Saccharomyces cerevisiae S288C: one gene and its partners. The gene in region 2 interacts genetically with the main gene of each other region. Each region holds a gene or a part of one and is shown on either strand. Other genes may lie near its edges. The genes, in order: NMD2, CDC13, RIF1 and BMH1.

What was found.
Region 1: of CDC13 (region 2) and NMD2, a mutation in one rescues a mutant of the other (synthetic rescue), as found in Saccharomyces cerevisiae (6 studies listed by BioGRID, with this or other methods).
Region 3: mutations in CDC13 (region 2) and RIF1 together harm fitness more than expected from each alone (negative genetic interaction), as found in Saccharomyces cerevisiae (5 studies listed by BioGRID, with this or other methods).
Region 4: of CDC13 (region 2) and BMH1, a mutation in one rescues a mutant of the other (synthetic rescue), as found in Saccharomyces cerevisiae (5 studies listed by BioGRID, with this or other methods).

Annotation. Positions count from the first base shown.
Region 1 is NC_001140.6:250,507-258,408, forward strand, and holds NMD2 (Nmd2p), read right to left. Parts: upstream 5,251-7,902; coding exon 5,245-5,250; intron 5,132-5,244; coding exon 1,868-5,131; downstream 1-1,867. Other genes in the region: type 2C protein phosphatase PTC7, read left to right, coding at 595-649, 743-1,719; YHR078W (uncharacterized protein), read left to right, coding at 5,854-7,512; bifunctional endoribonuclease/protein kinase IRE1, read right to left, coding at 7,738-7,902. UniProt on the Saccharomyces cerevisiae protein: Involved in nonsense-mediated decay of mRNAs containing premature stop codons. It interacts, via its C-terminus, with NAM7/UPF1.
Region 2 is NC_001136.10:60,947-68,419, forward strand, and holds CDC13 (telomere-binding protein CDC13), read right to left. Parts: upstream 4,073-7,473; coding exon 1,298-4,072; downstream 1-1,297. Other genes in the region: FMP45 (Fmp45p), read right to left, coding at 1-855; DTD1 (D-tyrosyl-tRNA(Tyr) deacylase), read left to right, coding at 4,296-4,360, 4,432-4,819; YDL218W (uncharacterized protein), read left to right, coding at 5,547-6,500; translocation channel protein TIM22, read right to left, coding at 7,037-7,473. UniProt on the Saccharomyces cerevisiae protein: Single-stranded telomeric DNA-binding protein that regulates telomere replication. Has a role in both positive and negative regulation. Promotes [TG(1-3)] strand lengthening via interaction with EST1.
Region 3 is NC_001134.8:748,691-758,967, forward strand, and holds RIF1 (DNA-binding protein RIF1), read right to left. Parts: upstream 8,417-10,277; coding exon 2,666-8,416; downstream 1-2,665. Other genes in the region: UBX7 (Ubx7p), read right to left, coding at 1-681; serine/threonine protein kinase CHK1, read left to right, coding at 904-2,487; tyrosine/serine/threonine protein phosphatase PPS1, read right to left, coding at 8,930-10,277. UniProt on the Saccharomyces cerevisiae protein: Negatively regulates telomere length by preventing telomere elongation or promoting degradation of the telomere ends. Recruited to telomeres by interaction with the C-terminus of RAP1, which binds directly to telomeric repeat DNA.
Region 4 is NC_001137.3:541,230-546,914, reverse strand, and holds BMH1 (14-3-3 family protein BMH1), read right to left. Parts: upstream 1,305-5,685; coding exon 501-1,304; downstream 1-500. Other genes in the region: PDA1 (pyruvate dehydrogenase (acetyl-transferring) subunit E1 alpha), read right to left, coding at 1-98; ECM32 (RNA helicase), read right to left, coding at 1,860-5,225. UniProt on the Saccharomyces cerevisiae protein: Involved in growth regulation.

The DNA of each region.
Region 1 (7,902 bases), on a different chromosome or scaffold from region 2:
CTTTCTCAAGTAAACTCATGATCATGCAGTTGTTCAAAATTACACCAATAACGATGTTATCTTTAAAACTTTCCCCAGAAAGAAGATGGCACTTTTGCACTAAATACTTCAAACTATTTAACTTTGAAGCAGGACATATTGCCGGTTATTTGACCATGCTGGCGCCGTTGACATTCATGTAAGCAGTATTAGCTTTTAAACTGCCATTAACGCACCTATACGATTGCGGCGGTGCGAAAACAGTAACTAGCACTCTTACGGCTCATTGTTTCCTCTATCCAAAGTTGCCTATATCACAATAAAATTAGAAATTAATCATTTTAATAAGCTTGCTGCCATTCAGTGACTCGCAATCTACGTTTTAAACGTAATTTAAAAATCCACTTCCACCTACATATTTTGCAACAGTCGTACGACAGAAACTGAGGCTCTATAAAATGAGATGTGCTAATTGTTCTTTCTTGGCTGGTTTCAGCTACATCTTTCTGTAATCAATCTACAAATTTACACGCGAGCTTCATTTTGACAGTAAACAAATGTAAAAGACACATGCAATAAAAGCGGTCCAGAAAACAAACGACAAAGCCACCAAAAATGTTTGCAAACGTTGGATTTAGAACTTTGAGGGTCTCGAGAGGTCCCCTTTATGGTATGTTTATTGTTTTATTCATTGGTGTGCTAATTGCTAAATTTGCGGGACAAATGCTAATCGACTCAGAGACTAACTTTTCTCATATCATAGGATCCTGCAGTCAAATCATCAGCTTTTCCAAGAGGACTTTTTACTCAAGTGCCAAGAGTGGGTATCAATCGAACAACAGTCATGGTGATGCGTATAGTTCAGGTAGCCAATCAGGCCCGTTCACCTATAAAACCGCGGTAGCTTTCCAACCAAAAGACAGAGACGATCTGATATACCAAAAACTAAAGGATTCTATTAGATCACCTACAGGAGAAGACAACTATTTTGTTACATCAAACAACGTTCACGATATTTTTGCCGGTGTCGCAGACGGTGTTGGAGGATGGGCTGAGCATGGGTATGACTCCAGCGCCATCTCAAGAGAATTGTGTAAAAAAATGGACGAAATAAGCACTGCTTTAGCAGAAAATTCATCCAAAGAAACGCTTTTAACGCCAAAGAAAATTATTGGTGCTGCATACGCAAAAATTAGGGATGAGAAAGTAGTGAAGGTTGGTGGGACAACAGCCATTGTGGCTCACTTCCCATCTAATGGAAAATTGGAAGTTGCCAACTTGGGTGATTCTTGGTGTGGAGTCTTCAGAGATTCTAAACTTGTATTCCAGACAAAGTTTCAAACTGTTGGATTTAATGCTCCTTACCAATTGTCAATCATTCCAGAAGAAATGTTGAAAGAGGCCGAAAGAAGGGGTAGCAAGTATATTTTAAACACCCCCAGAGACGCTGATGAATATAGCTTCCAATTGAAAAAAAAGGATATTATTATATTGGCTACCGATGGTGTAACCGATAATATTGCCACAGATGATATTGAGCTTTTTCTGAAGGATAACGCTGCGAGAACAAACGATGAGTTACAGCTATTATCCCAGAAGTTTGTGGACAATGTTGTCAGTTTAAGCAAGGACCCCAATTACCCCAGTGTTTTTGCGCAAGAGATTTCTAAGCTAACTGGCAAAAACTACAGCGGTGGTAAAGAAGACGATATAACTGTTGTTGTCGTGAGAGTTGACTAACACTCCGCTCTTTAATCTCCTGGAAAGCAGTGTAAATAAAAATACAGCGTCATAAACGGTACTATATAAACACGTAGCCATTTAATAGAGCCAAACATAAGTGGGCATATATAGTAAAAATTTAAAGAACTATATTCGCAAAAGAATCTCAGTCGAAAGAACGTTTTAAAACAATCTTTTTAATCTTGTTTCGCTCGGTTTTTAGTTTCTCTTCTTCTTCAAGGACATCAGAGACAAATTTCACATCCGTTGGTAATTGTAAAATTCTTGATTGTGTCTTCTTACCGCTTTTAGTCAAGAACGTAAATGCAATCTTCTTTGGCTTGGATAACTCTTCGTAGGTCTCCTTGCTTGAAGAAGGTTCTTCACTCTTTTTTAATAATAAAGGTTTTTGAACGCTGACTGGCTTCGAAATTACTGGAATTTTACTGGCAACAACCTTTTCGCTTTTCCTTGCGTCTATGGATTCTTGCATCATTTTCTGAAATTGCCTTTCCAATTCTTCTTCCGCTTTCCTTTCTTCCTCATCCTTTAGTTTTCTCTCGTACTCTTCATACATTCGTTTCATTTCAATATCTCTGTCTGCGTCAAGATCACCACCATACTCCAAATCAGAGTCGCTGTCTTCTTCTTCTTCATCATCATCATCCTCATCATCATCATCTTCATCATCATCCTCATCGCCTTCTTCTCCATCATCATCATCATCGTCATCGTCATCGTCATCATCCTCGTCATCGTCCTCATCGTCTTCATCTTCACTTTCGTCTTGCTTTGCCTGATGTTTTCCTGGCGCTGACTCTGTGTTCGGTGTACTTATCTCCGCGTCTTCATCTTCTCCTAGTAAATCGACACCATCGTCGTTTTCATCATCTTCATCCTCATCATCTTCGGTGATTGACTCGATAGGAACAGCACTCTCCTTACCGTTGTGAATGCTTGCAGAAGATCCCTTCACTCTGTCGTCTTTACTTTTTATTGCGTTTAATGATTTCAGTAAACTTTCCAACCTTGAGGCACTTTCTACCAAATTTTCTGACCTTTCAAATTTAGTGTTTCCGAAAATATTCTCATATTTTTTAAATGTGCTTGAAACTCTGAATTCTGTTTCCTTGGGTAAAGGTTGTTCTTTAATAAAAGTATAATACTCGAAAAACCTCAGCAAAAGTTTGCATTTCTTAGTAAAAGCTGCAGGGGTCCTGTTGATATTTAACAGAATTGTAGTGACTAGTTGAATCCTGAAATAATTATCCGGTGGATCTGAGTAGTTTAAATAAAATGGATTGGGTTGATTGTTGATATGACCAAACCGAATAATGTGGTAGATAGTATCTAACAAAACATCGGATTTTATCATTTCAAAGTTGAATATTTCAGTTAAGTATCTGACATTTGATATTCTATGCATGTTTTGTCCATAATCGTTAATTTCTAAGCCTCGCTCAATGTTTTCCAGTACTTGGTCTATACATCTGATGACGAAATCGCGGCGGTAACTGTATAGACCGCCTAGAACTTTTGTTAATAAGGGAATATTTTGATAGCTAATCTTATGTGGTTTTGAAAACAGAGAAAACAGCACTTTCTGAATAGCTACATCGTCCCAGTGAGCTTTCCGAACCAACTTGACAATGTGTTTGAAGTCTAGGCTACTTAGTTCACTTCTAATTAATATGCGATAAAACTGTTGTTCAGGCGTTATTGTTTTTACCGTAACATTTAATGATTTTACAGAAGGGGGATAAAGTAAAGTAATTATGTTTTCTAAGGCGCTTTTCATGTTCATGTTCAATTGCCTATCATTTTTTTTATCCTTGATTAGTTGGACCATTTTTTCCATTAATTCCTTATATTCTGGCTTATTTAGCAGAAATTTCCCTGAGTGCTCCAACAAAACCGTCAAAATTTCTACGTTATTTGGAACTTGCATATACATGATTAATGTTCTAATCTTATGAAAAATCATAAACGATGGTATTAATTGAAATTTAATCATTTCACTGAAGAAGATGATGTTTTTAACGTTAATCTTATTAGAATGTAATTGACTCCTGAAGCCATTGTCTAGGTAGTTAATAAACTCAGAAACAATTTCCGGCATATATTTGCTATTTGTTGCAATAAATCTGGAATACACTGGCAGTTTGCTCCAATCTTGTGTTTCCATGAAAAATTTCAATATTCGATTTCTTGTGGCTTTGTTGTCCAAATATGATGACCAATATCTATTTGAAAGGTCATCGATTATATCTTTACAATCTGCCATTTCCAAATCCGTAAAGAATAGATTGATATTTTTTGAGTTAACGTTTGAATCTTTTTCTGTTTTAGAAGATTGTGATTCTTCTACTGTTTTTGAGATATCTGGTAAGATTTCATAAAATTTCCTTGTATCTTCATTTTCCCATAATCGTTGGTTGGGTGGCAATATCTGATTCGTGATCATTGGAGAAGCTGTTTCTTTCAGATCATCATTAGAGGCACCTTCAAGCTCCGGAATTTCTAACTTAAAAAATTCTCCCAAAGTAATTGCAGATGTCTTGAACCTAATGAATATTGGAAGTAACTTGTCGTACTCCTCTACGTACTCATCTCTCAATTTTCCCGTTCTTATTTGGCATTTCTGATGTTCTCTTTGCAGTTTATTGACCTTCTTATGCAGTTCTGTGGCCCTCGCAAAAGTGGCGTCTATAAAATTCTTAAACAGAGACTGTAACGCACCTTTTAACTTCGAGTCATATATTAAATCATCCCAAGAATTATCATCGTCGCGAAACAAAGGTGCAAATTTCTTAATAAATGCGGTCGCAATAGTGGTAGTAAAGCCCAATTTGAACTTATAATTAAGAATCTCTCTGAGAATACTGAATAACAACGGATCCTTTCGCCCAGTTTTCTTCTGTAGGAAGTTTGGAATAGCATCTTTCGACTCAATATCATCCAATGTTCTAAAAACTCCAACTAAATAAAGCTCGGTAAATACCCGAAGATTACCTTTAACTCTGGTTATCCTTTGAAGCTCATCTCTTTCGGATTCAATGTCAACAGAGGGGTTCTCAAAAGCTTGTAAAAAAGCTCCTAAAAGCGGACTAGTAAATCGGCCATTGAACCTTTGATGAAGTCCACTTATGATCTCAACAGCGGCAATTACGTCATCATTTTTATTCAAAACATTTAGCAGACATTCTGTTACCGTCACTATTATCTCTGATAGGTACTTTTCCAAGGACGCCTCACTTAAATCTTTCAATAATGAAGATTCTGAACCTTTCACAAAACCCTTCTTTAGTTTTTTTATAAAGCCAGTGTTTCTCTTTATACTGGAATCCAGTTTTTTACTTTTCAGGGGAAAGACTTCTTCGCCATTCCAAGCTCGGGTGTTCAAATCATGCAATTCTTTTTTCCGTCCATCCTGTTGATACATAATTGTTACCGTAGTTTACAACGATCAATAAAAGAAGTTAGTATAAAACCTTAGAAGTACTGAAAGGCCGATCTGGCCACAGTAAGATAAATCAAACATACGTCCATAATTTCTGTCCAATGTATTATCAATGCAGATACAATATTAGATTATTTAAGCATTTAAGTTGATTGTTACTGTTCATTGTAAAGTAATATGGGCCTCATTAGTTTCTCAAACCTGTATTCGAATGCAGTTTTTCAGTGACTGCCAAGAAAGTGAAAAAAAAAAAAAGAAGCAGGCTCCATCAATTCGTATCAAGTGATAATTATCACATAAATTATATAATTGTAAACCTATTAATAACCCTAATATCATCCTCATGCCCTAAGAAATATTCAATATAACCCCCTAACAATATCATAATATCCCGTAGTGATCATAGAAACGCTATATGATGGTGCATAATTAAGATAAAGGTCATTCAGGCATGAAATAATGAACTTTAGTGAACGACTTAGTCATACAGAGTCTATTTTAGCTTAACCATTCGGTTTTATTTTACAGTCTAGACTCAAACGAGTGAAAAATTGCGATATCTGCGATGACCGAGTCCTGAACAATAAAAATTGACCAGCAGGGAAAGAAAAGGAAAAGATCTCAACTCTGGCGGTTGCCTCCAGGACCTGCACTAGAAAGGACTATTGAGTGTAGACTAAGTGGTGGACGGGATGGAGGCACTTATCGTATTTATAGTGCTTTCCGTATCCGGAGCATTTGCTTACAAATGCTCCTATGAAAGGCTCTGGTTTAAAGTAGGGTCTTTGTTTGACATTATATCAACTTCCTCGAAGAAAAATGTCATTCCGTTGGCAAGCAAAATGGAAGTTGGCTCGAATGAGGATGTGTCTAGTATGGGTAATTTCATAAATAAATTCTACACAGAGTATTCTTTACCCTCACATAAGGTACTGCAATCACTGCGAGTCCTTTTTTCATTAGCAATGATGACGTATACAGTAACCATAGAGATTATTCTATGGCAGATTAAGGTTGCTGGAATGGACAAGGAAGTTACTTTCATAACGACTTGGGTGTGGCCTCTGACTGCAATCATGCTATCCTTCATACTAATTTTATTTCAGCCCTTTTTCATTATAATATCGTTACTGAATAAATTCTACAATGACAAGTTCGATATCGATAGGTTGATAATAGTGACATGCATAATCTTGTCCACACTTATTGCGCTGTTAAGTTACATAAATATTGGACCGTTCCAGTACACAAAAAATATTCTAACTAGATTGTCCATCGGAGGCGTCACAGTCATGGCTTCCCTATCTGGGTTAGCCACTGTTTCTAGTTTATACTACAACTTTTTAGTCATCTGGCACAAGTTTCGTAATACACCAATGTCAGACCCCAGTTTTAGAAACATCAACAACAGCAACAATAACAGTAAATCTCTCTTATGGACAACAGACGCCTATATAGAGGAAAAAATCCAAGATTATGAACACAACATTGAACAAAATGTACAAATATTAAGAAGTTTAGAAGAAGAGGTCGGAGAAAACTCAACTTTTAAAGCAGAGTTGATGGAAAAAATCGCCTGGTATCAACTGGAGCTTGGGAAATTGGAAGCATTATTACAACAGTCCCCTCAGGTACGCACTTTTAAGAAAGCTTTTGAAGTCGGGTTTATCATATACTGTCTTCATAAACTAATAATAACTTTCCTGAAAAGAATCCCCTATATCATATACCACTCGCTCAAATATCCAGATGACTACGATTATGAAAATTTTAGTGAAAATGCAGCATCCGATCCTTTAGCCATTACGATAGCAAATATTTTGGATTTTTCGTTTTTCAGGTTCAATTACCAGCACGATCTCGATTCGTTAACAAAACAGATATCGTTATTTTTGTCAATTTCTCTCTTTCTTTGCTGTCTTTCTGCTGTCAATACCACCATCTCCTACGTTGTGACCCTTTTGCCCATAAAGTTCCAGATTCTTGCACTTTTCGCCATGCAGAATGATGACACTGCTAATGTACTTCCAGAGTACACCAATAACTCTTCCTATAAGGGAAAAAAGAGAAACTATTCTCAGGAACAAAAAGGAATATCTTTGATAAAAAATCTGGTGGTGTCAGAGTTGACTGGCGTCTACGTTTTGGCTACAACGCTAATGGTTAGGTCCCATCTCCCTTTTGAAGTATCACAAAGATTAAAGGAGCTATTGGGTGGAAAGTTTACCGTCCCAAACATTGTCATAGATTCTTGGTTTGATGAAGTCTACGCTTTTGCATGTGTGTTTACCTTTATTTGCATAAGAATTGCAGAACGAAAGCTTTCCACCAAAAAAGTCAGTGTTGAATAACTGGAGTAGTATGTCGATGTTCGATGTTTATGAGATATGTATTTATAAAATTAAATGTCTGTCGGGTAGTTTATGTAGGGATGAGAAAAGTAGTATAGGTTCATGAAGAAGTACAACTTTTTTTCATTTATGCAAGGGCGTAAAAATTATGGATGGTTACTACTAATGATCAAAGTAACATTAATGCAATAATCAACCAAGAAGAAGCAGAGGGGCATGAACATGTTATGAATACAAAAATTCACGTAAAATTTGATCGTCACTTAAATTTTCCTTGACAATCATATAAACACCTATTAATAGGTTTGGAAAACGCTTGGTGAAGTAATCGTAAAATCCATCGGGTACCGGCCCCATTAGTTCTGCTATATCTTCAGGTAAATCCATAAA
Region 2 (7,473 bases):
TCTTGTTTTCAGTTTTTGAAAGAACTTGCCATTGCCAGCCGGAGTAGTGGTGGTTGTAGGTTGAGGCTGTCCAACCACAGGTGCGGCTGTGATAGGGCCCGCGCCGTCCGTCGCCCCACTATTGTAAGTGGATTTCTCCATTTGAGCACCGGTGTCAACAGAAGGGCTTTCATATTGGGCATACATGTCGTGGTCCGAGTAGGTAGAGTGGGCCTTGTGGGTAGCACTGAATATAGTGGACCAAATGGCGTTCACGAGCATCAAGAAGACCGAAGTCCAGATGAACGCAAAGTTTTTGGGTCCCAGCCTTGCAGACCTCCCGCTGTTGCGGAAGGTCTTTCTGGCCTTCACATAGCAACCTGTGTACAAGCATGCAGCCAATATAATGAAGAAAAAGGCCAACCAGGACAACACACAGTACAGGACTGGCACTGCCTTGAAAGGAAGGAAGGTAGCCAGAAAGCCGGGTACCAGCGCCAGTACGATGAAAAATAGGGAAATCAGCAGCATGGCCCATCCAACCCTGGATAGATAATAGTAGGTATCCCGGTTGTTTCTGAACGACGATGGTAAATTGACAGAGTTACCAAAATTGTCTCTGGGAGAGAAAGGCTTGGCGGGCGCCCTGCTAGAGCAATTAGCTAGCTGGCCGTCTTCGTAGCCGCACCAATTGTAATTGTACCATCTCGTGGTCGATGGAGCGCTGTTAAAGCCGTTTGTATCAGCCTGTAACCAATAAAAATTTTTCAGCGTTCCAGATTCTCTGCCTCCTGACAGAATAAGAAAAAACGTCAATAAGCCAGCACCGAGTAGGAATAAAAACACAAGCAAATTAACGAACCTTTTGAAAATCATAGCGGTAGATTATAGTGATTAGTGTTACTTGTTACTTGGATAAAAAGGAAAGTATAAGCGTTAAACGTAAATACCTCTTTCTTTTTAATTCACTTCAAAATTACTGTACTTAAAGTTTGCATCTAACGGATAACTAATCAAGAGAACAAAGCAAGATCAAGTAACTGTTGCAAAGCAACCATCCTTTTATATGTCGGCATCTGCGCCGAATGCTCCTCCCCATTCCAGACTATCCTTGTTTTAGCATCAAGAAGGAAGGAAGACCTTTCATTGACTCTTGCTTCTTACCACTCCCCTCTTTCCCTTTTCCTTCGTGTGAAAACGTTCCACTCCCTTATATTCAGAGCACCCTTAAATTTGGTTATTTGGTCTTTTTTTTTTATATTACTCCGAGACGTCACTGCAATTTGGCACCGCCGCGTTGGGCTGCGCGGATCATGTCTTACGAGGTGGGAACGGCTCCGGCGTCATCGTCATTATCCTCCTCCTTTTTCACGGTGACGCCATTTTGCGCGGCAAGAAGTCGCAGAGGATTGACGGTAGCATTAATTGCGCAATCAAGACTCCCTGAATCAGGAGCCGCTGCAACCTTCGGATGGGCCAGCTGTTGTTGCAATTCCCGAAAGGTGCATTCAATTGGGCACCAGATCTGGAGTGCCACGGTAGTGTCAGGGAACAGCGTGAGCGAGGAGGTTATATTGAATTTAAATGAATGGCCGAGAAATTGTGCCAATTGCGTATATTTTTCCTCAAGAGGCTGACGCTGTAAGTAGGCGCTTGAGCGGTTGAAAAAATAAGCAAAGTTCTTGGAGGTAATGATGTGTAGTTGCAACACTCGCTCCGGGGCCAAGCCGCGGGTTTGTAAAAGTGGGAGCTCATTCGTGATATGGAAGCAGAGATCAGATGCGTGGTACTCGATGGCGATGATACGGCCCTCGCAACTGTATAATGTGTTGCTCTTGTGTGTTTGCTGTGGGCGCGGGAGGCGAGCCGAGGAGTCCAAGAGAGAAGATATATCTGTGAACTTTACATCGAAGGAGGACACGTCTGCATTCAGGTCGGGTATGTGTTCTGCGAGAGCTGGTGTAGTGGGTGATTTTTTTGGTTCATGCTTTACTTCATCGAACCTCAGTTTCGCGAGATGAGAACCGTTTCTATGTATGGGGAAAAACCTCCGGTACTCTTCGAAATAGCGTGAAATTGCGGATTCGCCAATTCTCTTGAACGCTCGTTGGTAGAACAATCTTAAATGTTCGCACTGTGAAGGCGAGGCGATGCTGCTTATTTGGGAATGCGGGACCGGCTCACATTCGCGCACAATGGCATTCAATTTGCCGTTGTACATTTTCACTTTTATATTCATCTTACAAACTATGCCGTATTGCGAAAGGTTTTCATCGCGGCCGTTCTGTAGATCTCTTAGCCCGTTGTTGAATATTTTTCTGAGCTTAGAGTCAAACGTTTCGAATTGGTTTTTGTACATGATGGCTTTGAAGCCCTCGTTCAGCTCTAACTTGTTCTCGTAATCTATTAGATATCTGTCGTAAAGATAGTTTTGGACGATATCGTTCTTGGTAAAATCGCTAAAGACAAAAGATATAAAGGCAGGTTTATCAAACGAGCAGGAGACTAGCATGCCAAACATTGTTATGTATTTGGTCTCAAAAGTGTCGAGTCCCAACTGACAGAATTCGATGGTGGGGTCTTTCCTTGCCATTTTGCTCATCCTTGTGCGAGACGGATCGATTGACGCCGACGATTGCGCAGGCACCTGCACCTGCGCCTGCGCCTGCGTGTCGGTGCTAATGTTCTTCAAACTCCATACTGCCATACCTGGGCTGGCGGTCTTGTCATTGTCCCACAGGATCCTTTCAACTTCGACGGAAATTCGATCAGGCTTTTCCAGTAGTAAAATATCCGATATCTTGTCGCTTTGACAGTTTAAAACACCGAAGAGCTCACAGATTCGCTCTCTCGTCGGGATAACGATCTCAATGCAATTGACGCCTGGCACCAGGACCTTGTCTGGGACATTTGGTAAGAGCTGCGTAAAATATAATTTCAATGTGCAATATTTGAACTCATTTATACTGGCGAATTGAGGTGGATTCATGCCAACAATTTTGCCCTCTAACCTTTCAACTGAGCCTACACTAGCTAGGGAAAGTTGCTCATAACTGATGGCTTTGCGGATTGAGGACGCGTTCGGACTGTGGAAAGAAAGCTTTCTCTTCCTCTTGCTTCCGGAATCATCATCGTGCCAATTATTTGGTACGCTTGTTTTCCTTTCAGGTGTCTGTGACTGGATGTAGGATTTTGAGCTGAAATATTTCCCGGTAGAGGAGGTAGTTGAGGAATCTGAATCCTCAATGGGATCTGCGCTGTCATGCATTTCCTCTCCCATGTTGCTTATATCTGTGGTCGGTTCATCTACATTAAGCGTCATAAGCTGCGAGTTGAATTCGTTTTGGGATTCAATGTAAGGTATCCCTAGTCTATTTGGCACAAAGAAAGGATTAATTGCTGCGGCTTTTGATTTCTGCGATAATACCTTTTGTTGGTCTTGAACGAACTTTTTTAGTTCTATATCGTAGTGAATCAACTTTACAAATTTAAACCTGTTTTTCTCGTCTCTATTCATTTCTATTAAATTGTTGAAGATATCCACAAGTGAGTTGTTCAAATCACATTCTGAAATAAGTTCTGATGACGAATGCTTGCTGCTATTTGTCGATTTTGTAGATATGGTGCTTATCACACTTACCAAATCCAACGGTTTTATGTCCTCTAAGAATAGAGTATAGTTCCCGTGTTTTGATACATATAAAGCTTTACAACTTGAAAAACATAACCTTTCAAGGTGAATATCTCTCAGTATTACTGTTGGGGATGCGCCTGAGTCAGAATCTAAATCTGGCAGTTCAATATCAAAGTATTGGCAAAGTAAGGAAATAGTGATCCGGGCTAACCTCTCCGAGCCCCTATCTTTGAACTTCAGTTTGATTAAATATTGATCTTCTTGGGATTGATCTCCTCGCCTCTCAAAATTAGAAAAGCCTAGCAAACATTTTGTTTCAGTCAGGTGTATTGAGGTTAAAAGCGCCACGAATTGCACGGGAACTATTGCTTTGCTGGGATAGCCTTCAAAATCTTTACTCGAGCTCACAAAAATACGATTTTTATGTGGAGGACACTCAGGCTCTTCTAAGGTATCCATTTTTAGGCGATAGTTTCCACGGTCATTCGTATCCAAAGAGAAACATATATGAATATATTCTTAAATTTCCATTTTGAATTAGCATTTCGCATCTCACTAGGCCTTCGCGTCTCTTATGACGTTGAAAAATTTGGATATCAAAGGTTTAAAAAGTATAATCACGTTAATCAAGGCTGCATGTACATATTAAATAATCCACATATTATTCAGCAGCGGATTTACAATGAAGATTGTCTTACAAAAAGTCAGCCAAGCATCTGTAGTCGTCGATTCAAAAGTTATTTCAAGGTATGTTACCGGTTTTTTCAGCTTCGTTAGTGCACCAATTTTTTTTACTAACACCTCTATCTATGTGACAGTATTAAACATGGTTATATGCTCCTAGTAGGTATTTCCATTGATGATTCTATGGCGGAGATAGATAAATTATCGAAAAAGGTTCTTAGTTTGAGAATCTTCGAAGATGAATCCAGAAATCTATGGAAGAAGAATATTAAAGAGGCCAATGGTGAAATTCTATCCGTGTCTCAATTCACTTTGATGGCAAAAACCAAGAAGGGAACTAAACCCGATTTCCATTTGGCCCAAAAGGGTCATATAGCTAAAGAACTTTATGAAGAATTCTTAAAATTACTAAGAAGTGATTTGGGTGAGGAAAAAGTAAAGGATGGTGAATTCGGCGCAATGATGAGTTGCTCTTTAACTAATGAAGGGCCCGTTACAATCATTCTTGACAGTGACCAATAAGATTGACCTTATAGATATATACGAGAAGAAAATAAAAAGCAAACATTATTTGCAATCTTTCTTTCGCAAGATAAAGTACCAAAATCTTTCCATGTTATGTTCTCAGTGAAGTTGAGTAGAGCGGAGAGGAGCCCTCCCCAAAAAAATGAATACAAAATATCTGTGATGGATTTTTGAATTCACGCTTCCTTCAATAACCTTCGCCAAGAAAGTCTAGAATTGTTTTATATTCTTTACATAAAAGTAAGTAAATCAACTTTAAAAAACTTTAAGGGCGAAAATGAAAAAAAAAAAATGTAAAAGTGAAAAAAGGGACGGCGAAGCGATGCCCTGCCAGTCTTACTAATCCAGAGGGCTAAAAGCATGTTTACAGTGTATTTCCAGTCATAGGAGAGTATTGACCTGGCATGGAAAAAGAAACGCACAATGAGAAAGGGGATATATACCCTTAAATTGACGATAGTTAAGGAGATTTTGAGGTTTGTGTTACTAATAAACCAGTAAGCATACTCGTTGATGACTTTAACGTATATTTGGTTTCCAAGGGATATTGAAACCGTATCTTAAGGGATGACGATGGTTGGTTAACATTCCCTAAAAGACAACGTATAAAAAGGTTCAACAAAGCGTCCGTTACCATTATGCTTTGATGTTCTCAGTACGAAAGTTTACGGTTTTTTTTTTCAATTGAGGAACATAAACCAAATAGATATATTATATCAACGTTATGAAACGAGTTACTGGAGTTTTCTTAACACTTTTGAGATTTTCTCAATTTGCATCATCGGTTTTGGTGATGTCACTTTTGGCGTATGCCATCCACGCCTATGGAAATAGAGGTAATAAGAAAACCAACTTCACATTGGCAACAGGTGTCATTAGTGTGTTTTATCTGATTGCCTTAGGTATTTTGTGTCTGGCCCTACCCACATTGATCTACATAGGAATGTACTTCTGTGCCGAATTGATCGTTTGTATGCTATGGCTAGCAGCTTTCGTTGTTCTTGCCAAAGCTCAAGGTGAACGTAGCTGTAGCAACACTAATGCAGACGGATTATACTATAATCCGTACAGTGGCCAATATACTGCTGACAGTCATAGAAGAGCATGTAATTCTTCTCAGGCGGCAATCGCCTTTTCTGGCCTTTGCTTTGTACTGTTTTTGATCAGTGTGATATTACTGGGAATTAATGTCTTAACACCTATCAGGAAGCGTTATCAAACCCAAGGAATGTGGAGAAGCGGCGCTTCTATGGGTACAAAGCTCCATAGGTGGAGCGGACTAGCTTTAAGCGAGCCTTTTGAAGAAACAGCTGCTTACGATAACACCAATGTTAGGACCGGTGATGTCGAAGCAGGTGCAGGTGATAATGCTGCTTACACATCTGAACCGAATGGCGACGCACGCTATGCAACTAATGACCCCAATGGGCAGTACCATACTACCACCACCAACACACGTTACACCACAACAACAGCGGACCCTAAGACGCGTTACACCACCAACGATCGTAATCCTGGTTCTGCGAATGTCGCTAACAGTGCAGTGGACCAGCACGCTTACTCTACGGATGAGTCAGGTGATCGGTCTTATCAAGAAAAGGTCACAGAAGGAGCTCACTCTGGCGCTATGAGTGGTAGCACTGCAGAACCAAACAGGAACGTCAATCAAATGCCATAAATTCAATGATTTCCTTTTTGTTCGTCTATACCCTTCACATACTTTTTCTTTTTCTTTTTCTTTTCTTTGCTTAACGATTTGAATTGCTCCTGTTCTAATAATGGCGTCGTCTTTTAGAAAATCCTTATCAGGTGTGAATAATGCTTAATTTTTTTTATATATAATGATTTACTTTTATTACTTCTTATTTTTATATTTTCCTCTGTCAAATATGTGACTGAAATCTTCCAATTTATTAATATTAAAGTGTGACTATCACTTGAGTTTAGCGACAGTCTCTAACGCCTCGAATTCATCGACATGGGAAAATTGGAAAGGGTATCGTTTTTACACTTCCCATTTTCTTCCAGCAAAAATGATCGGCCCAGAGTCTAGTTAAAGCATGATTAATTCTCCCAGGGAATTTTTTTGCTTTACTAGTAACAGTAGTTCTGGAAATTATTAAGCGTTCTTAAATTCTGGGACGGTCGTGCAGAATATTAAGATAGGTGATATTTACAAATATAAAACATTCATCGTTCGTCGAAATTGGCTATTCATTCTTTAAAATCGTTTTGAGGTGGTCTACCATCCTCACTTTTCATATACAAATCAATTGCAGCTGAAAAGGCAGCAAACCCGGCACCACCCATTAAGGCAGCTTGTGGTCCAGCTTTGTATGCCAGCCCAGCACCGGTAAAAAACCCTGCGGTTACTCCGTTGTAAATATCATTTTTAGCTCTAAGTGACTCTATGACACACTCCACCCCAGCATATATCATACCAATGTAGCCAAAATTCTTAGCACTAGAGTAGGATTTTTTACCCATATCGGTAAATTGAAGTTTCATTTGCTGCCGGAAAGGTAAATCAGATATTTGCTGAACTGTTCTTGATATTCCACCCACACCTATATTTCCCGCAGTTGCAGTTGCTGCTGTATTTGCAGGTGTAGGTGTATGAAGAGGTGTATCATATGCCATTGACGCCATGA
Region 3 (10,277 bases), on a different chromosome or scaffold from region 2:
CTTGCCATCAGTCATCCTGATTTGCAAGACGCATTTGCTGCTGTGCAGTTTTTGTGCGTCTTTTATGTAATCATGAACATCCAATGGCTTATCATCATCAAGGGTTCTGTGATGAGTTTCATCAAGAGCTTTTCTTTCTGCACGGTCTGCCCTAACAAGTCTTATAATTCTTTCTCTTTCCTCCTCAGCCAGCTTTCTTTGTTTCAGTTGTTCACGACGTTGGATCTCTAAGGTAGTCTCAGCAATCCGTTCTCTTGCATTTTTCCTATGGACGTCTCTGGATGACTTTTCTTCTCTAGCCAAACCTGGATTGGTTTCCCTGGACGAACTCTCACCAGCCTTTTTGTCTTTGATGCCTATGCACGCCAGCAACTTCTCCCAATGTCGGTCATCCTCGCCTTGAATAATCAATTCTATCTTTCCAGCACGTATCAAGTATATACTGGGTACAACTACATTAGGAAATACTTGCTCAAATAACTGGAACTGCTCAGTGTCTTTGACCAACCTCAACCAAATACTATGTTCCGCTAAAGTATCTAATGAGACATCATCTCCTTTAAACCAACTTTTCAGCCACTGGTCATCCCGTGCAGTGTTGTAAACGGCCAGCACAACGCCTTCCTTGATGGAATCGTTTATTGCTTCTTCCACAGAATCTCTAAACAGTGCTTCTAACATTTGGTTACGGCTGTTTGGTTTAGCTATCCTTGCTTCTTTGTAAGTGCTTTCAACCTCAACCCAGCTCCCTTTTAAATTTTCAACATTACTACGAGGCCTGCCGAAGTTAATAAAGAGCGGCTTTAAATGTCATTTTAATAATTGAATGGCAAATAAAAACAACTACAGCTTCAAACATAAGAGTATATCATAAGTTGCTGTATATGGGCAGCACGTATTACTATGAGTCTCTCGCAGGTGTCACCTTTACCCCATATCAAGGATGTTGTTTTAGGAGATACAGTAGGCCAAGGCGCATTCGCCTGCGTTAAAAATGCTCATCTTCAAATGGATCCCTCCATTATTCTAGCTGTTAAATTCATTCATGTTCCCACTTGCAAAAAAATGGGACTCAGTGACAAGGATATCACAAAAGAGGTTGTTTTGCAATCGAAGTGTTCTAAGCATCCTAATGTTTTGAGACTTATCGATTGTAATGTCTCTAAAGAATATATGTGGATAATTCTGGAGATGGCAGATGGTGGTGATCTATTTGATAAGATTGAGCCTGACGTTGGAGTTGATTCCGACGTGGCCCAATTTTACTTTCAACAGCTCGTTAGTGCTATTAATTATCTGCATGTAGAATGTGGAGTTGCTCACAGAGACATCAAGCCTGAAAACATCTTACTCGATAAGAACGGAAATCTGAAGCTAGCTGATTTTGGGCTCGCCTCTCAATTTAGGAGGAAAGATGGTACATTACGTGTATCCATGGATCAAAGGGGTTCTCCACCCTACATGGCTCCTGAAGTATTATATTCTGAAGAGGGTTATTACGCAGATCGAACAGATATATGGTCTATTGGCATCCTCTTGTTCGTATTGTTGACTGGTCAAACGCCTTGGGAATTACCTTCATTAGAGAACGAAGATTTCGTCTTTTTTATTGAAAATGATGGAAATTTAAACTGGGGACCCTGGTCAAAGATAGAATTTACTCACTTGAACCTACTCCGAAAAATTTTACAACCTGACCCAAATAAGAGGGTGACATTGAAGGCTTTAAAGTTACATCCTTGGGTATTACGTCGAGCTTCATTTTCTGGGGATGATGGTCTCTGTAATGACCCTGAACTCTTGGCTAAGAAACTGTTTTCTCACTTAAAAGTCTCACTGAGTAACGAAAATTATTTGAAATTCACTCAAGATACAAACTCTAATAATAGGTACATTTCTACTCAGCCAATTGGTAACGAATTGGCTGAGCTTGAACACGACTCAATGCATTTCCAGACAGTTTCGAATACACAACGTGCATTTACCTCGTATGATTCAAATACGAACTATAATAGCGGAACAGGTATGACACAAGAGGCTAAGTGGACGCAATTCATAAGCTATGATATCGCTGCCTTACAGTTTCATTCTGATGAAAATGATTGTAATGAATTAGTAAAACGACATTTACAATTTAATCCGAATAAACTTACCAAGTTCTACACGTTGCAACCTATGGATGTTTTGTTACCGATTTTGGAGAAAGCCTTGAATTTATCACAAATTAGAGTAAAACCCGACCTTTTTGCGAATTTTGAAAGATTGTGCGAATTATTGGGTTATGATAACGTTTTCCCACTTATTATAAATATTAAAACCAAAAGTAATGGGGGTTATCAATTATGCGGTAGCATTTCCATCATAAAGATTGAAGAAGAGTTGAAAAGTGTCGGATTTGAAAGAAAAACTGGTGATCCTTTAGAATGGAGAAGATTGTTCAAGAAAATTTCAACTATCTGTAGGGATATTATCCTAATTCCCAACTGAAAAAAATGGAGACAAAAGAAGGGTTAAGATGCACTGATCAAAAAAAAAAAAAAATTCTTTCTACTTATTATATATCTCTCTCGATTTCTAGTGTGTCATCGTAACTATATATTGTTTCGAGAGATTTTATTATTGTAATTAATTTATTGCCATTTTGATCTATTCTACATACTAACAATCAATTCATATCATTATCCCTGTTTGAGTAATATTCGAGCCTCATCATAAAATCTAATAATTCAATTCTCAAGTTTCTTCTTTCTTCCACAGATATTCCGTTCAAGTCGCCCGGTGTGAACCCTCTCAATCTGGCCACTAACCTTCTCGACTTTTTTGAAAAAAAGTGCACTTTTAATGAAGGTGTGGCTTCCCTAGATGTAGCATCTTCGTTACCATCTCCCCCCAACAAAGGTTCGCCATCTGCTTCTGTGTGGGCTTGGCCTAATTGAATTTCATGGTGTTTTTCTTTTCCACCAATTGTTTTTGGTACGGTGTCTAAGCCATTCTGCGCGTTGATATTTGTATTTTCTGTCATTCGAGGAGGTGAATCTGGTGGCATTAACTCATTCCTTTGCAATCTCTTTTTCAATTTCTCTTTTATTTGGCTCTTTGACCCTTGCATTTTCAAAGAATTGAAAATGGGTATACGAATTTCTGGTAACACTGAAATATCAGCAACTTCGGGTTGTTCTTCTAGACCTGTCTCTTTAGATACCGCATGTTCCATTGATTTTAAAAAGCCCTCATCTCTGACATTTTCTTCAACAGGTACAAAATCGTCATTAATATTGGCATCCTTATCTCCTTTAAGCGGTCCCTTCAAATTTTTATTAAGTTCGCATGTTCCACTATCTTCTAAGCGTACATTGATACCTTCTTCGGTCATAACAACTTCCCTAGATTCTTCTTCAGTGCCTTGAATGGGTGTGCTGTCCATCCTGTCATTATTTTTGTTTCTACTGTTTATTGCACCCACTTGATGTTTCTCTTGCGCAACCGTTCCATGTTCATCTTCATCACTACGCAAGTCATCAACTTTTGATTTTTCTGTCTGCTTTGAACTATTGAGAAGTATAGTCCCACTCGGGATCTGAATGCCGTCTCCTGGCACCTCATTCCTTACTGGAGAGGCTTGTTCAACATTACAAGCATAATCGTTGTTTTCACCCTCATTATTAGGACGGGCTTTCTTCACGCTCTTGTACTGTGCAATATTGTCTTGCGTAAAACTTTTACTGTTGATTTTATTCATACTTTCCTGGTTCTCCTGTCTTTGAACATGTTCAACTTGCCCTTTTCCATCTTCCTTTGTTATGGTTTGCTGGTCAAGATCTAAAGTGACATTCAAGGAATTTTCATTACAGTTTGTTTCCACTTTTATGCTATTCCTTAAAGCTAACGAAGATTCTTCGTTGGCTATACTCTTGATGTTAGTACATATAACGTCACTGCTAGGCGACACCGCTTGTTCCTCAGAAACTAAAACGTCCACCATCGTTTCATGACCTTTCGATCTTTTATTTTCAGAGGTAGGCGTCTCTTTGGAAGGTCGTTTTAGAGGATTATCACTGTTAACAACGTTATGATCAGGATTCGTTTTGATAGATCTATTTGTTACCGCCTTCAGTTCGCTAGTGAGAACTTCTATCGGTTGGTATGCGTTCACTTCCGAGGATTGTGTATCAATACTTTCATGCAGCTCAGTAACATCCACCTCATCGCTTTTAGTAGAACAAATGTTGCTATGATTGGCCACGTTTTTATCTAACTGCGTACTCTTCATCTGCTGATCTATTTCTCTAATGCTTTCATTATCCACTTCCTCTAGTGTTTCATCATCAATTGATCTGCTTCGGTTAGCATGTGATTCTTGCTGTGAAGAATTCATTATTGCAGTATTTTTAAGCGATATTGAATCTGAATCTTTCGCACTAATCTGGGAAGATATTTGAATTGAGGAGGGAGGCTCTTTCATTCCCTGCGTAGCCGGAACCTGGATATCTTGAGAATCCACTTTTCTCTGTAAGTTTGAAAGTTTATTTTCACTCCCTTCGCATGGAATATACATCGACTTAGTGTCAGGTATAGCTTCAATTTCCTTACTTGAGTCCCCTTGATGAACCACGCCCGATTCCTGTATCCACTTTCCTATTGTCTTTAATGTTGCATTATAGGTTCTCTTATCTTTAAACTTACGATTATGTGATTTGATGAGGTCAATCAACAGATTAACCATATCAATAGTTTGATAGTTAGGGTTTGGCGGTAATATACTAATTAACATGGAAAAAAATTTTTTGGCGGCACTTCTAGAAAGCGGTTTAGTGAGATATAATAAGACTAATTCACGGAGCATATTTGTACTCTTTTTGTGTTTTTGCATATTAGAGCTAACTGGATTTAAGAAGAAAACTAAAAGTGGCTCCTTTAATTTTTCCAAAATTTGGATCTCTTTTTGTATAATAATCTTTTCAAGCAACTCCAATATATAATCATCATCTCCATTTTCAATTTTTTCAATAACTGCTGCCAGTAACTTCCCATTAGGCTTCTCCTTATACGTCAGTAATTTTAACAGTAGCTCTGGACTTATTTTGAAAAGAACTTCGCTGGTCATATTTCCGCAAAATTCATCCAAATGATCCGCCATATTATTCTTTATGCAAAAATTCAATAGGCCACTGAATAATGGTTCAATGGGATTTGCCATCGCCAGATGAAGGAGTTCTCTGATTATTTCTGATTTTTCTAACTCGCTATCAGACGCATTTTGTAAAACGTTCTCGATTTCTGAAAAATTTTGATTTAGCTGTTCAAGTTGTTGACCCTTCAACAGCCAACGAACTAATGTAAGCTGTTCGGAGCACTTGAATAGTTTTATGTTTGCTGCAAAATATGAAGCTCTGCTACGTGGTAACAGCTTCAATAGGAGATCTGAATTTAGATCAGGGATGGAATTTAGTAAATTTGGATTGGAATGAATACAGTACTCCAAAATATCCATAAATTTGTTACGCCTTAAAAATGGGAGCAGACCGGAAAACAGTTCAGGATTCCCTGGTAAAGAAGTTTTTAACAGCGTGATCAGATCCACGTTTAATTTGTTTTCATTTTTTGAAACATAGCTTTGAATGAAATAAATAAAATTATTGTTCGACCACATAGACACATGAAGTAGTGTAAACAAATTAACTGGAAAGCTGAGCTTCAAACATAGGTCCAAGAAATTTTCAATGGAATTTTCATTCGGAACTTTGTTCACAATATTCGCCAAACTCTGAAATTCTCTGAAAGATATATTTGGTGGTAATAACGTTGATCCAACCCAATTTTGGGCATATACTTCTGTTTTCTTATCATCCAATTCTAGAAACTTTTCTATTATCAGAAATTCAGATGTTTCGTTTCGAGCTTTCCTGATAACATCTTTTAAAAGATCAAGGGTCATGTTTCCTTGCGAAATACCAACTTTGGAAATTTGGATATTGAAATTTACTAATGATGAATCATTCTTTCTTAAAAACAGGTCCAAAAATGTATAAACAAACGATGAAGTAACAGCACCAAAAAAGTCACGAAAAATGGGTGTATCTTTGTTGTTTTGCGTGACTTTTAATATAAGACTGCTAAAGGATTCTAAATGAGTTTGGTCCTTTCTATCCTCTGGAAGATGCTTCAAAGATGTAAGGATCAGATCATGAGCCAAATTAACGTTAGAAATGGCTACTTCAACAGCCTGGAACACAACTTTCATGATTTTATCGTATTCACGCTTGATGATCTGCGGGGGCAGGCTTGAAATGTCTTTTAACTTTACACCTTCTGAGGCTATAACACTCATTGGGTGAATATGCTTTTTATATTTTCTTTCCAATGCAACATCTGCATTCTTTCCCCCAATTAACAAATGCAAAACTGTGAAGAGTACATTTTGCAAGTGAATCGAATCATATTTGAAAACATAATCTTCATAAATCGGGGTTATTAGGTGGTCCCAAAATAGTTCAAACATATCTGTTGACAAATTCTTATTACTTGTAAATGCAGTGTAAACAACACCTAAAAGGTGGTAGATGATCCCTTCTCTAGCGCTTGGATCATTCACATAAGGAAGCGTCATTTGAAAAGGGGTTCGTAAAAGTGACAGTAAACTTTTGTTTCCTTCCTGATTTTTCTGTGATATTTTCGTGCATATGCAGTAGGTAATAATTCTCCAAACTTTGATGGACATTAAGCGAGTCTTGGGGTGATTATTGATAAAGCACAGGTTATTTAAATCAAACCAAACTTTGTTAGATTCTGATGTCAAATCATAAACTCTCTTTCCGCTATCGTATAGTAATCCGGTCATTGAAAGCCACAAATCCATTGCTATTTTATTGTCATTTTTGACCACAATATAGTTTTTTATCTGCTGTGTAAGAAGATGACCAATTGTCACTTTATCTAAATTAGCGCTGTCATATGAATTTAACGGTAGTTTAGATAAAAATTTTTCCGGGATTGTTTCGCATACTGGAGATAGCATGATACACTGGTAAATCCTTTCATGTTCATCAACAAAATCTAAGCATTTTTTTAGTAGTTCCAGTAAAACAACTATTGAAGTTATGAGAATTTTCATGGAGTAAATTTCATCTCCGATAATAATCCTAGGTAGTACCTCACCTGGTAACCAAGAAGTTACCGTCTCAATCATTAATTTTGGATACTTGCTCAAAAATCCCCTTATAAGTAGCAATTTTTCATATATTAGGTTGTGACTATTGATTTCCATTATTTCAGTGAAAGTGCTAATGATAGGTTTAATTTCTTCGTTGCTCAAGAAAAAAGTACCAAATTTTTCGTCTCTCAAGAAAGAGACTTGTGCTGTTATGATTATCTTGTTTGAATTTTCATTTCTTAGCGCACCGGTGGTCCACCTGTAAATAACTTTTAACTTATTAACCAAATCTGGCCTTTTCGTTAGCCACTTAACGATTTTGAAATTAGACATAATAGCACTGAAGAATCGAACTATTTGAACATATAGTCTGATTACAAATGGATTTTTTTTTTCACTACTACTTAATAATGTGTCCTGTGCTATTTGTAGATGCGGTATGCATATTTCAATGATACTTTCTATATTCACAATTAGAATATTGAATTTCTGATCAACCTCGTTAACATTTTTAGTGGTTAGAATGGGTATAATATTATTAAAGGTTGCGTATACCTCAAACCTCCTCGCGACGTAATCTTCAGATTCTTGTCGCAAGATGCCCAATCCGCCCTCAATAATTTCTTTAAACTCCGAAACACTTTCATTATCAACTAAACCATGGATCTCACCACTCACCCAATACTCTAAGGCGCGAGGATTTACCCTTGTTTCCTTATAAGGTGATGTGAAAATATTACCGTTGTGTAATTTGTGTTGGGTATATTGGAGTTTATTGTAACTCAAGTCGCTTACAGTCCTCACTGAAGGCAACCTATTCCTCAAAATTGATTTTCCTGGTTTGCTTGATGGAGAGGGTTTAGGTGAGGAACCTGGTATGCGGTAAATCGGTGATGATTCTATCCTATCAGAAAAAGCTACACTTTTTGTAACCGGTGATACATTATCACTATTAGAGGCAGACAACTCTGGAAGACTTTGCATTAGCCTGCTTCCTGTATCTTCTGGATATAAATTCTTGTTAATAGCTGATAAATCAAATTGTTTATTCTCGCAATCACTTGAAGACGCTAGCTTTCGCCTCTTTGGCGTTGGCGATAGATCGCTTTGTATATGCATATGAGCTTGTGGAGATGGAGGTGGCAAGTTAGTTTTCATCCACGGAGAGCTTCCATTGGAATAATTATCGTGTTGAGACCTACGGAGGATATGCTGATCAATTCGATCTATCGTATGTTTCTTTTTATCTGAAAAATCTTTCGACATTGCAAATTGACCACAAAAACGATTTTGCAATGGCAATCCTGTAATAACGTTGACGAATATATATATATATATTCACTTTTATCTCCTTAGGTACTGATGCCGACGAATTGCCTCAAATCGCTCTAAGACTGCGTTATTACTTTCGATCTTCTTGCTAACGATGAGTCGCCAATAAATAAAAAATCGACGCGTCGGTCAATTATAGTAACTTCTATTATTGTAGTAAATATGACATAAGAGGAAAAACACAAAGAACTGAAAATCAAAATGGCACTAATCACCTGCCTTCTGTTGACTTCTTGTTTCTTATCAAAAGTAGAGTATATTCACGATGTAAATCTAAGATAGCTGTCCTTACTATATAAATATTTGCTGCGGCCCTTTTTTAACGATTTGTAAAGGATTACAGCAGTTCGTTATACTTGGCTGATAGCGTTAATTTTGCATACTTTTCTTATAATTGGTAATTTTCCTACGTATTATACAGTTGTACGTATACTTATATAACAAAGTTCATGTGTACTTCATATTAACCTCAGCGATACCCCTACAGATGATGTGCCAATCCATAGTTTTGTCTTTTTCGCGATTATAATGCTTTTTCCACCATTTGAAGAGCTCATATACGAAGAACAAGTTTGGTTGAATGATAACATTAAGCCTCCGTACCCTCACAAACAAATACGCACTTGCCAGGTCACACTGGAGATATCTCATACATTCAGCTATACAAACTGTTGCAGATCTGGAGACTCCGACCATACAATGCACCAGAACTTTCCCTCCTGTTGCTTCGGAATTGCTAATAAAATCCAAAACTTTGTCTATTTGGTGGAAAAGCGGATCTTTGCCGTTGTCATCTAGATTTTCGATCTGGCAAATTTGAAATCCAGAATTTTCACTTATTACTACGTTGCTGCCATTTTCTTGCTTATCGCTGACCACAGTATCAGCTCTATTTCTGCTTTTATTACATGTAGTATTACCTGCAACTTCATTGGTATTCGTCATAGTTATTGCACGATGTGGCCTTACAGGATGAGCAATTTTATCCTTATTCAATGTCCATGAAACAACTTCACCGACAGAAACTATATGCGTAATTCCTAGAGACTTAAGTAAGGCAGGATTTTGTGCATGATCCAGGGATCCCAAATACAAGTGACGTAGAATCCGGGATGGCAGTGGGCCCTTCAAATTAACGAAATTAGACTCAAGAGGAATCTTCATAAAAAATATGCTACTAAAAAGCTCTGAAGAAATGTGTAATTGAAAGCTTTTATCCCTAAATTTCAATGCATTGGCATATAATTTTAGATTACTTCCATTCTGCGGACTAAACTCCCGCAGGACAGGTTGTAAATGGCCTAAAATTTGCAAGTCTGATGGAAAAAGGAAAAATGGTCTTGGATGGATCCTCAAAAGAGCGTCTTGTAACGGAATATTAAAGTGGAATATAATATAAGCTGTTAATAATAATGACGTTTCTGTATATCCGTCTTCGCAATACATGAACGTCAATAATTCTTGAACTTGGGATACTTGAAATATTAAATAACAAACATTCAAAAGAATTTCCACAGACTGAATGTTTAAGTTCCCCAAACCTATACTACCTGAGGCAGGGAAAGTCAAATGCAAATGCTCTTGTGATTTTGACGCATCATCGTCTAATAAAAGATCTAGATATGTTCGGATTTTCGTTAACGACGGCATTTGCGAGTTTGACGTACATTTTATGATCAATTTCCACACCTCTTTTGTATTCGGTATGTTATACAGTTGAGAAATGGAGGTTGTCGGATTGTCCGTATCATAATTTAGAGACTTTAAATTTACTATGCTTGTATTCTCTTCGAAA
Region 4 (5,685 bases), on a different chromosome or scaffold from region 2:
ATGGTACGAACATGACCTATCCTGGTGGGAGTGCGAAGAACAGCTCCTAACCCGCGGACCAATTGTGATGGTTGGCGTTTGAATGAAGCAGCAAGCATTGGCACAAATGTGGTTTCCTTTCTTATTGCTGTATCCAACTTTTGTGAAGATACAGGTGCGACAAACATAAAAAAGTTCTTGCCGTTAAGAAGCTAAAGTTGCTTCTCGCTATACCAGAGGGGATTATTGTCGGGAGTCATGATGCGACATTTACCCGGTTGAGTAAGGAAGGGGTGGAGGAATCAGAAGAGAGATAAATAAACATACACGTCAAAACAGTATAGTTCAAGTAACACATATAGACATGTACACGCGCGATTACGTGTGTACATGCACATGTTAATGTTATATACATATATAGATATAGATATATAATTGCAATAATGAACTACAAATTATTACACCCCCGTTCTTTTTTTTTTCTTTTTTTTAGTAATTTCTCTTTAGATTTATCAGAATACTTACTTTGGTGCTTCACCTTCGGCGGCAGCAGGTGGCTGCTGTTGCTGATGTTGTTGTTGTTGTTGTTGGTCTTCAGCTTGACCGGACTCGGACATGTCTGAAGTCCATAAGGTTAAATTGTCCCTTAGCAGTTGCATGATAAGTGTGCTATCTTTGTATGATTCTTCAGACAGAGTGTCCAACTCAGCAATAGCGTCGTCAAAAGCTTGCTTGGCCAAATGGCAGGCTTTGTCTGGAGAGTTTTGAATTTCATAATAGAAGACAGAGAAGTTAAGAGCCAAACCTAGACGGATTGGGTGAGTTGGGGGTAACTCTGTGGTGGCAATTTCAGAAGCGGTCTTGTATGCTTCTAAAGAGGCGTTTGTGGCCTTTTCTCTAGCATCGCCACTAGAAAATTCAGCCAAATAACGGTGGTAGTCACCCTTCATCTTATAGTAGAAAACCTTGGACTCGCCAGTGGTGGCTGATGGAATTAAGTGGGAGTCTAGCACGGACAAAATATCGTCGGAGATCTTAGTTAGTTCGGTCTCAATCTTCGAACGGTACGAACAAATCAACTCGACCTGGTGTTCGGACTTCTCCTTGGACTCCTCCTTTTGCTCAATAGAAGAAACAATTCTCCAAGAGGCACGACGAGCACCAATAACGTTCTTATAAGCAACAGACAACAAATTACGCTCTTCGACCGACAACTCTTGGCCAGAGGAGGCAACAGTCTTCATGTTTTCGACCATTTCTTCATAACGTTCGGCCTGTTCAGCCAACTTGGCTAGGTACACAGAATCTTCACGACTGGTTGACATTTTTATCTTTAGTTTATCTTTAACTTGCTTTTTCTTCTCACTTGCTTGCGCTCTCAATTTTGAAAAGTAGGAAAAACTAAGTTATTTTTGCAGAAACTACACGGTTTTATGTTACGGTTCGTCTCGTTTTCAGGTTTAAGGTCCAATAATAAAGAGTTTCCTTTTCCTTTTTCCTTTTTGCTGCGCGTGGAAAAGCGTGTCTTTTTCTCATACCCCTGTTTTTTTGTTTTTTTTTTTATTTTTTTTGCTTTTCTTTGCTTTTTGCCTCGTCCCCCCGCGCCCCGGCCACAAAGAGGAAGCTATTTGCCACCGAGCTTCCTCTTTTGACTCCAGGCCGGAATAAAGTAGCTTCCGCAAAACTTCGCTCCACTTTCCAAAGAGGAAGCCCGTCACGTGGCTGCGCTGTCTCCCCCCCCCCCCCCCCTTTTTCCCCTGTGTTTTCGATCTACCGATTTTCTGTTCTATAACTACGTCCATTATCTATCTATATCTATCTATCTCTGCATTGCGCAATCAATACATAAACAGTGGATTTTCTTGCCGCCGCCTAGCCGGCTAGTAAGCTGTGAGATCAGTGAATATGACCTCTTGTTCCTCGAGGTAGGTAATGTAGTCTTTCCATAGGGGGTCTCCTTTTCTTAAGACATTCTTGTTGCCCACCACAATTAGTCCGTGCTTGGCTCTTGTCAATGCCACGTTTAACCTTCTTTTGTCACGTAAAAAGCCGATTTTGTTTTCGGTGTTATTTCTGACACATGAAAATATGATGAAAGATTTTTCGTGGCCTTGAAAGGAGTCTACGGTCGCGACGTGTAGGCCGTTGATGATGTTAATCACATTGTTTTGTAGACTGCCGGCGGTTCCTTGAGAACCAGCCGCGTTAAATAGCTCAATTTCATCGTATTCTTGTTGCATAGAAATCTGTTTGGGGTTGATAACTACGTTTTTGGTCAAGATGTCAGACAGCAGATCACGCTGTGCAGAATAGGGCGTTATGACACCAATTTCTTCCAGCGGAACCTTCTTGTCCAACATTAGTATTTGGATAATCTTCACGATTTCTACACATTCGTGTTTGTTTTCGTACGTAAACCCGACTATGTCTCTTTGCGTGCTTCTCACTCTGCTCTCGGGCCCCAAATCGCACTGATAAAAAAACAACGGATGCTGCACGCCAGGCCATGCCTTTTGTTCGTCCGTGACACCGTCCTTCAATTCACCATTGTATATTTTCTTAATGGGGAATTCGCTAATTTTTGGGTGCATTCTGTACTGCGTATCCAGCATTAGTGGGTTTTTGTACGTGCCATTAGATAGGACTCTTTCGAATAGTGAGGTTTCCAGTTGAGGGATGTTGCTGAAACTTGACAATTGCTTTTCGTCCCCAACGAAGACAAAATTTCTTATACCTGGTAACGAAAGTGGGACTAGTGTTGAAGCCTCTGATGATTGTGTAGCCTCATCCATTATTACCACGGGACATTCTTTTATAACCTTCAATTCACGACCACCTGCAGCAATGTTTGTCGTGAAAATTATTTGCGATTGAGATACGACCTTGTTGGTGACACGGTTTTTCTCTTTATAAAACTTCGTGTCCTCTGATTTGGAGATCATTTCGCCCCTGCGGGTTTTGTTTGCCACGACTTGCATGTCTGGGGAAAGATTTTTGTATACAATATTGTGGAGACAAATTTCGCCCAATGGGTGGTCATCACTATACTGTTGTTCTTTCTTCTTTGACAAAATTCTTAAGATCTTTATCTGCGGTCTATTCTCCATAATCTTCTCGGCAATGTTATCAATAGCAATATTTGACGCGGCAACACACAATATTGGGAATGCGTGAAATCTTTCAATTACTTGGATGATTATCTCCTCTATTGTTGATGTTTTACCTGTACCAGGTGGGCCTTGTAGAATTGTGATACTGTTGTTTAGAACATGTTCCACTGCAGTCTTCTGAGATCGGTTCAACTTGTCACTGGAAAATTTTAGCCTGTTATCAAAATAAATCTCTTTAATAGGCTTTTGGCCTAGTAATAGGTCAATAAATTTTGGGTTTGTAATACGCGTCATGGCAAATAGAATTCTACTTGTCTGCGCAGAAGTTGGCAATAGCTTAAATTGAGATGAACCATTTTTCGTTGGCAAACTCAAATTATTCCACGAAAAAAGCTCCACTAACAACACGTATTTACCCCTTTGAATAGAAAGTTCTTTGATAAAAATATACCAAACTTTTTGTTCATCCTGAGTACAAAAGAAAAATGGTTGCCTTTCATTAAATGCCGGTCTACCGAGTGCAAGCAAATTTGCAGGTAGTAATTTCTCAAGTTCTGAATTATTATTCTTCTCAACGTTGATTATAAAAGCTGTATCTTTTTCATTGCGAGGCCATAGTATGTTGAAGTTTTGAACAAATTCGTTCTCTAATTTCTGTTCCAAAAAAAGGGCAAATGAGTAATCATTTAGGTATGTGTTCAAATCGGGGTATGATAAGGTTGACTTAAAGGTATTATACCTTGTGAGTGGTTCACCTTCTTCGTAAATAAGTTTCCCGTCCTTAGTTTTTCCATTATTTTTCTCTTGATTTTTTGTCTCCAACTTTTTTGGCATCGTTGTTGTTTTTGATTTTTCATTCAGCGTCGGCTTGCTAGCCTTCTTATTGCGGTTTCGCGATTTAGTAATTGAAGTTGTGTTCTCGTTTGGGCTAATACTAGGTTCTCTAGAAGATTCAGTATCAGATCCAATTGTCCACCTGCTAGTTCCCTTATTTGGCTGGTTATTTGATTTTTTGCCAAGTGCATTCTTTCTGCCAGCTGAATTTAGTTTGGCCTCTCGCGGATTCTTATTACCCGTTTTATCATTGCCCTTAGTCTTCTGGCCAGCATGGTCTTTTTTCCCTTTTTTCAAACCAGTAGTATTAGTACTGCCCGACCCGTTTCCATTCAAAGCTTTTGGTTGCGGTAATTGGTGCTTATCCACTGATTCGTTCTTGCCTTTCCCTCCAGAGTTTGTTGTAACGTGGCTATTGGTATTTTTTCTGTCCTCTGGTATAGGTTGGCTGTTACGGACATTATTTCTAATGTTTGTTTTCCTCTCTTTCTCTTTTCCTATCCCATTTCCACTATTCTTTTTGTGGTTTGCCTTATTTCCTTTCCCTTTGTTTCGATTTGATGGGCCAGGATTACTTCTACTAGTCTCTGATTTGCTTACTTTTGCTGCAACTACTGGATCGCTTTCCACCGCTTTGAAACCTTTGAAGTTTCTTAGATTGGAACTACTAGAGCTTTGAATGGTACTATTTTCTTTCTTGACTTCATAAGCGATTCTACTTATTTTGGCCTCGAAAGTTTCCTTTTTCTCCTTCTTAATCTTAGCACCCTTCCTGCCCTTCTTTCCTCTACCAACTCTTCTGCCGCCCTTTTTTCTAGGCTTTCTAGTGCTATTCTGTGTTTCATTCAGTCCCAAGTAGATGTATAGGAATCTTCCACTTTTTTCAGAAACAAAGTCTTTAGCTCTATTCGATTTGGGCAAGCACTTGTCACATAATACTTCTCCATTTCTATTTGCATTCAAGTTAGACTCTTCCCCACACTCATCACAACAACATTCCCTGACTTTCACGTACTTTTCCCAAAATTTCAATATAGAGCCGTTTTGTAATGAGTAGCTAGTTGATGGACGCTCCGTTTCTGAATATTCTTTCCGAAAACACGAATTACAAAGTAAAACCATGTCTTCACCCCCAAACCTGATGATTTGAAGTTGGTGTATATTTTTATCTTGACATTCCTCACAGCAAATATCTTCATCATTTGAAGTGTCGAATACAGTTTTATGCCTCGTACTTGAGAGATGCTTCATCATCTGCTCAGCATCATAAGCCTGGCTACACGTTCTGCACTGAAAATCCATCGTGTAGTACTTCTTAGTCTGCGGAACTCCTTATATTGTCACAACTTTGTTCGAATTCTTCAAATGATGAACTTACATTATACATCACTCTTGAGCATTTTAAGACTCTAAAATCGCATACAAATAGCATCCATTACCCGACTACACAGGAATAAAATACGGCGGAAATATAAAAAAAAAAAAATAGCGGCATCTTCAATATCTCTGTACTGATTACTAAATAGACGGTAACCAATTCACGTTGCCGATCGAGGTGTGACACATCACTGTCATGTTCATTTTACAATTCTTATTGAGTGAGAGCGCTTGTATAGAATTTCTATCTTTCTTTTAAGAGGTGCAGTTCAAGTAGGATTTAGTTGGAAATGATAACTTGTTTGAGTAAGCTTTGGTTCCGCTTGTTATGACCTGCTTCATTCTCATATAACCTCATTTGTTAAAAATCTAAAAAAGAATCAAT